Oryzias latipes: one gene and its partner. The protein of the gene in region 1 interacts with the protein of each later gene in a biochemical or structural test. Links are inferred from orthologs where the notes say so. Each region holds a gene or a part of one and is shown in the gene's direction. Other genes may lie near its edges.

Region 1 (3,702 bases):
ACATTCTGAATTGCCTCATTTTTCCTACTTACAATGAAAACAAAAAAAAGAGTGGTGTGTGCGCATGTGAAGGTGCGTTCCAGAGCGCGCTCCACGCAGTTTCATGAACACTCATTCGGTGTACAGACCGGACGGACCAGCGCCAGACACGCAGGTACCTGCAGGGGCGGTTCTTCTTTTCATCAGCGCTCCTCCGCCACCTACAATATATTTATTGTAATTAAATCAACTTATTGGAAGAGGTTCGATCTGCAAAATCAAAGCGGTTCAATTCCCTCAAATCTTGCTCCAGCCTTTTTGTTTTCACAGATCTGTTCCTATAAATGTCCATCTTGGTGTCATTTTATTCCGGCCAAAAACAAACCGCAATTATTCATTTCTCCTTAGTGATCATGTTTACAACGGTTGATAACTGTTTCTTGAAAAGACGCTACAAACACTATCAAATCCTAATTTCTGATTGGTCACAGCGCTGCGTTGCTGAGATTCAGCGTGAAAAAGTTCAACCGGTTGAACTTTCAGCGCGCGACCAACGAACGCTTGATTTGTTTGTAGGCTCCGCACCCAACTTAAAAACCTGCTGGTGATGTGCGACCGCTAGCCTTCCAGACGCCACAGCCCCAAATTCTGGTGTGTGCGCATTCAAAGAGGCGCTTGAACACGGGTGTGTAAGGCGGAAATGCGTGTGCGGCCTTCCTTTAGCTGTTCCGTTAACTGCAGGCCTCTAATTACCGTGCAGTTGTAACCCCTCCACTTACACACACGCACACCCCTGCAGCTGCCCACCGATTGGTCACACTCCTCTGACCCCTTGGCCCCCCTGCCTGCTGCTGATGTGCCAGGTATAAGAGGCTTCAGGTCAGCAGTAGTCCAGTTCAAAACTCCTGACAGGACCCACATTACCGGACCCGCGGATCGCGAGTCTCTCTTCGGTTTGCTGGATAGCTCGGCTCGGCCCGTTGATCTCAGTATTTCTTTTCTGCGGGCCTGTTTTGGACCGGGTCATGGAGCTGTCGGATATTCCTTTCCCCATCCCGGCTGCTGATGATTTCTATGATGACCCCTGTTTTAACACAAGTGACATGCACTTCTTCGAGGACCTAGACCCACGGCTAGTCCATGGCGGTCTGCTGAAGCCGGATGACTCCTCTTCTTCCCCCTCATCCTCTCCTTGCTCGTCCTCCTCCTCCCCGTCCTCCGTCCTCCATGTGCACCAGCGCGCGGAGGTGGAGGACGATGAGCACGTCCGTGCGCCCAGTGGCCACCACCAGGCGGGCCGCTGCCTGCTGTGGGCCTGCAAAGCCTGCAAGCGGAAAACCACCAACGCAGACAGACGCAAGGCAGCGACGCTGCGCGAGCGCCGGCGCCTCAGCAAGGTCAATGACGCCTTCGAAACGCTGAAGCGCTGCACGTCAGCCAACCCCAACCAGAGGCTGCCCAAGGTGGAGATCCTGCGCAACGCCATCAGCTACATCGAGTCCCTGCAGGCGCTGCTGCGCGCCGGCCAGGAGGATGGCTTCTACCCGGTGTTGGAGCACTACAGCGGGGACTCGGACGCGTCCAGCCCCCGCTCCAACTGCTCTGACGGAATGGTGAGTCCGCTGTTCGGACAAGCTGCGAAGGCTGGAGCTACAGCGCGTCTTTACGCATGGAGTCTTGACTTAGTTAGTCGTTTCATGACGGCACAAGTTTTTACAAAACTTCAGTAAAAAAGAAAAGAAAAAGGAAAGGCAACTTTCACCGTTTTAGATTCGATTATACAGGCGCGTTACTCAGTTAATTCAGAGGATTACCAGTTACTACCTCTCCCGAAAATAAGATTTTTAAACGTAAAACCTTTTCTTTTTTTTTTTTAATCGTGAAAATCTTTTTTACGTATTTCTTGAATAGACTGACAGCGTCGTTTGGAGCAGTTCGCTGCTTGAATAAAAATCGGTTATAATTTGCACCAAACATCCGGATTTATTCAAACGAATTTCCTTCATAAAACATACGAGTCCCGTCATTAGGATTTCTATTATTTGACAAATTTCCTTTTATAACGCGTGCGAAACACTCAGGAAGATGAAATAATAATATTGTTGCTGCTGTTTTGTGCTTGTTTGTTCAAAGAAAGCCCATATATATATATATATATATTCCAGTTTAAAAATACACGAGTGTTTACTATCGGAAAATATCCCTTGTGTTGATATTTCAAAAATGTGACATTGTGTAAATTGTGTTTTATTTACTCTTTTGGCGTGCTCTAAAAAAAGCATTGTGTTTTATTCCAGACTGACTTTAATGGACCGAGGTGTCAGACGACGCAAAAGGGGAGTTATGACGGCGGCTCCTACTTCTCCGAGGCTCTGAACGGTGAGCTGCGCGCGGGCCAGAGGGGGCCGCGTCACGCGCCAACATTTTACACAGGAAAGATCCGATTTGCGCTTTAACCAGCCGACAGCATTGCTCATCTGAAATGATAAAGCGTTTGCAATCTAACTAAATCTGTTCATGAAGCCAAAGATGTGCTTTTATTTTTGCTAAATAAATTTAGTTTTCATGAGGTTAAAGAAAACAATGACATTCTCTATAAATTCTATAAATGAGAAAAAGGATATATATATAGATATATATCTATATCTATATTTACAGCTGAGCAAGTATGTCAGAGCTGAAGGCCTCTTGTGTTGGACAAATTTTACTTTTACAACAGGACTTTATGGATCTTTAGACAAACACAATTTATTTAGGGGTTAATATCCTTCAAAGGGTGCATTATTAACGCTTGCCGTGTAAGCCTGCGTTGAACTGCAAAGTGCATTAAAAATATGAACACTTTGAAGTAAATCTACTCACTTATACCATGGTGACTTTCAAAATAAATAAATAGTCAACCAGTACTTTATTCTGGTCATTTTTACGGTTTAGATTGCTTTTTCACAAAAGCGAACTATTTGTCATGCGGTGCAGCCTGTTGTCACAGTAACATGCCACTTAGCCAACCTCGAGTGGTGCGGCAAAGGAAAGTGATATCTATGCTGATGATCACGATGGGTTGAATAAAGCATCAGTTCAGAGAGAAAGTTCTCCTGTCACTGATCATTTTTGTCCAGATGATGAAGCTAAAGATTCTGATACAGAACATTTAAGATATGTGACCGGAACTGCTTTTTAGATGTACATTAACACATTTTTATCCACACCCAGCAGCCAATCAGAATCGAGTATTTCCCTGGACAATGGTATCAATTGGTGTAAACCCCTTATGTATTTGAGGTTAGGCTTTATTCATAATAATTATGTTTATATGCATTCTTTGTTGGACCGGACGGAAAACAAGAAGAGAGAGAGTGGATGTTAGAGATGGGGGGTGGGGGAGCAGTGGATAATACAGAGTCAAGAGTGTCATAAGTAAACTGCATGACTTGGTTCTCACACACACACACACACACCCACACACACACACACCAATAAATAGTCTGCACACAGCTGTTTACAGGTTTTATTCACACATAGAGGAGTGACCTCACAGTCTAGTTTGAATCATGTTTGACTGACGGTGTTTTCTGCCGTAGGAGGCCACAGGAATGACCGCAGCTCCGTCGTCTCCAGTCTGGACTGCCTGTCCAGCATTGTGGAGCGGATCTCCACCGACAGCAGCTGCCTCCCAGCCACGGCCGATGCTCCTGCCTCCCCGGCCGCCGCTGCGCTCAGTGA
Region 2 (3,753 bases), on another chromosome or scaffold:
AGTCCAATTCCCTTATACAGTCAAGGGTGTAAACAGACCAATAAGGTAGCCACAATGAGCAAAGCTGCAGTTTCACTCTAAAAATGTCTAAAAGTTGTTGTTTTTTATTGCTACAAAAGTCCACTGTATTCTATAGATTGACAGTTAATTTAATGACCATCCATCTATTTTCCAAATTCCCTGAAGCCCTTTCGGGTCACAGGCTGCTGGAGCCTTTTCCAGTTAATGTTGGGTGAAAGCGAGGTAAACTACAGACAGGTAGTCAGTCTGTTGCAAGTCACACATTCACATTCACACTCAAAACCTGTAGAGGGAGGTGAACGTCAGTGTTGCTCAGCAACAGCCACGAAACATCACAGCTCTAGAGAAGATCTGCATGGAGGAATGGACCAAAATTGCAGTTACAGAATAAACTCAGTGAAGACCTACAGGAAACCTTTGACCTCTGTCATTAACAACCAGGGTAACAATACAAAGTATTGAAAAGAACTTGTATTGACCAAATACTTCTTTTCAAATCCATTCAATGGGATTTCCTAGATTCGTTTTAAACATTCTGTCTCTCATAGTTGTGTTTCCATGATGAACATTATAGACCTCTTATCTTTTAAGGTTAAATAACTTGCTGAATCTATGTTTCTCATTAAGAATTCAATTTTTTTCTCCCTAAATTTTTGAATTCCACTTTTTTATCCCAATGTATCATTTGGATGTGTACAAGAAGGTTTTTTATAGGAAAACGTAAAAAAGCAAAGTTCACTTTTAGTTTAAAACGTTTCTCTACAAAGTCTAGAAAAGTTTTGTAGACTCACAGGTGTGACAGTCAAAAACAAAACCATTTCTGTTCTAGAACAGTAAATAAGAGGATGCCTGGAGGAGAATACTTTCCACAAACTCAGCAGCAGTTTTTGATTCCTGTAAAACAGTGTTTCTTTAGGCTTGCAGCACAGTCTATGTTTATACCATGATACTGTGGCATTCAGGGCAGATGGCCTTTGAGCCACAGTTATCAAGTCAGAGCTCCCAGCATGGGTCAGTGAATGCAGCACAAATGCTCCAGTGGCTGATGTTCAAGCCTTATTCAGATAGGGATAAAGGGTCAGGGGGGCCTCCTCTCCGTCACATGTTATTTTGAGAGGATAGTTTCATCAAGGCGTTGCCAGAGTGCTGCTGATGTGAAGACGGTATTTAAACCTCTCTGTCATAAGCAAAGCACTCTGACAGAGACTACAGGTAAGGCGCATGTCTCTTTCTCTTCAAGCTTATCTTTTAGAAGCATATTGCAGTCCATTGGAAATAGCACGCTCAATTTAAGTTTTCTCTTCATAATGACAACAATTTCCTGATTTTTGACTTTTCTGCTTCATGTAAAAACCAAGATTACAGTTCATTTTCAGTTGAGGTCTATCTTTGTCCCTGATAAAACCACAGGATTTGCTGACTTACCATTCATTGTATGATGTCAAAATGATGATTTTATTTTGAAATGCACTTTTCCAGCCCTGTGACGTGTCAGATACCTCTGATAGGAGGTGAGAGCCCAAAAACCAGACGAGAAGCCTCAGTTCAGCAACGTGGCTCTTTCAGGTTTCACAAAAGTCTATGGATAACTGATGATGCGTCAAAACTTAATATAAATATTGTGGCTTAAATGGGAAAAACATTTTGAAAATTACATAAAACCACGGAACTAAAGAAAGCAGTTTTTTTTACTTAGAGAATAATTAGTTATGATCTCCTTTTGACTACTTTTGTTAAGTCTAAACTAAAGCATCAATCCATCCATTTGTCTAACCTGCTTAATACCATGGGGTTGCTGGAACCTATCCCTGCTACTGTTGGCGAAGCAGGGTACATCCTGAACAAGTCCCCAGTCTGTCTCAGGGCCAAAGTAAAACATACAGAATATATTTTAAAAAACTAAGACTAAAAACACTTTTAATGATTAGGGAATAAATAATTAAAAAATGTGAAAAGTCAGAAAAACAATGACGGAGAAACAAAGCAGATTGATGGCAGCAACTTAGAAACATCTTCCCTCAGTTACGTATTTAAGGCGGTTACAGCTTTTAGGGATGACTTCAGAATGGCCCATTTCTCCTTCGCTCAGTATTTTTTTCTCCCTGTATTGTTAAGACAGAAAATTCCTGGTTTCTGGCTGAACTCAGGTCCTCAGTGACCTGAGTTCAGCCAGGTGAGGGTGGGAGCTGACTGAGCAGTTCTTTTGGAGCTCTCTGACTTTAGTCACGACTGCCCTTACGGGTGGATACAGGCTGTCTGCCAGCGAAAAATGGGTGAACCTGTGCGGGGCATGCAGGTGCCCTGCACAAAATTTTAAGATTGTTGACCACTTGGACTACTCGGTCAGCATGGTTTTTTTCTACGGGCATGATATAGGTGACATTTCACTTCCCCCTTCCAGCAAGGAAGGGGGAAGTAGGTGAGATGCAGGCATGTACGATTTTTCATTAGTTGAACCATCCAAATCCTGCTCGGCCCACGAGGAGCACATTAGTGCTGTCCACGTGAGAAGTGCATGCAGCCTAAATTGTAGAATTGAGGAAATTAGACAAAGTGTGGTTTGTAAGCATTCCACTGGCTTCCTATGGGCCGTTAGGTATTATCTGCACACCCCGTGCCTGCAGCATTTGCATGAGTCGGTAGGGGTCCAGGTACTCCCACCTTACTAATGATTAGAGTTTGGCGTAAGGACATCGTACAACAGCATCACCCTAAAGGCCTGTTCACACCGGGACGAATTTCGCCGGCGATTTTCGCCGACGTTTAACGCCTCGTGACTAACAAAGGGCACCAATGAGAGTGTGCACACCGACGGGAAAAAACGCCACGCGCCAAAGCGTCAAAAAAAAAAACGCCTCGGGTTCGTTTTTTTTTTTCGACGCGTCGAAATCTATTCGACCAATGAGAATGGCGCTTTTGCACACGTGTCTGGAGCTTCTGAAGTTACAGTAAAACACAACTTGGGGGCGCTCAAACACAAAACTGCCTTGCTGAGCACACATACCAGCGAAGAAGATAGACGCCAAGTAGCGTCTACACTGCCGCAAAGAAATAATGACGGATATTCTTAAATATCCCCTTACCAAGTACCAGTTGGAGCTACTGGTGCTTGAAATATTCATGTTTTCTTTGTATTATTCTGACAAGCGCGTAAATACTTGCTCTCTTCTTCTGAGTGAAAAGCGACTTTAAGAATCGTAAAGTTGCGCAGCGCCACCTTGTGTACAGGAGTATTTCTGTTTACATTAAGCGCCATCTAATGTCAGGGAATGAAATTGCATGTTCGCTCGGCTCACCGTCAGCGAAAATCGCCTGGGTGTGAACACAAAAAACGTGGCGAAAAACGCTGGCGAATAACGCCTGGCGAATATTCGTCCCGGTGTGTACGGGCCTTAACTTTGGTGCAATTTACATTATCCTTATGAAACTTCACGATACGCCTACCACACACACACAATCGGACAATACATTTTTATGACTTCCCTTGAGGTGGGTGTATGACACACCCGCACTCCCTTTCAGATGCAGCCGTACCTCCCTACGACCCTCTATGTCTCAGATAGAGATGGTTTGGACACGTTGAGAGGAGGGACAATGGTGATGTTGGGAAAAGGATGCTGAGCACAGAGAGGAAGACCAAAGAGGAGGTTCATGGATGTAGAGAACAGGAGGACATGGGGGTGGTTGGTGTAAACGAGGACAATGCAGAGGAGAGGATTAGATTTAGGCAGA

The links. The genes of interacting proteins can lie anywhere in the genome.
Region 2: the proteins of myod1 (region 1) and csrp3 form a complex in vitro, tested with the Homo sapiens proteins (2 studies listed by BioGRID and IntAct, with this or other methods). The link is inferred for Oryzias latipes from reciprocal best matches to the Homo sapiens genes MYOD1 and CSRP3.

Annotation. Positions count from the first base shown.
Region 1 is NC_019864.2:6,432,649-6,436,350, reverse strand, and holds the start of myod1 (myoblast determination protein 1), read left to right. Parts: upstream 1-801; 5' UTR 802-1,004; coding exon 1,005-1,592; intron 1,593-2,276; coding exon 2,277-2,358; intron 2,359-3,560; coding exon 3,561-3,702. UniProt on the Homo sapiens protein: Acts as a transcriptional activator that promotes transcription of muscle-specific target genes and plays a role in muscle differentiation. Together with MYF5 and MYOG, co-occupies muscle-specific gene promoter core region during myogenesis.
Region 2 is NC_019861.2:6,163,230-6,166,982, reverse strand, and holds the start of csrp3 (cysteine and glycine-rich protein 3), read left to right. Parts: upstream 1-1,118; 5' UTR 1,119-1,233; intron 1,234-3,753. UniProt on the Homo sapiens protein: Positive regulator of myogenesis. Acts as a cofactor for myogenic bHLH transcription factors such as MYOD1, and probably MYOG and MYF6.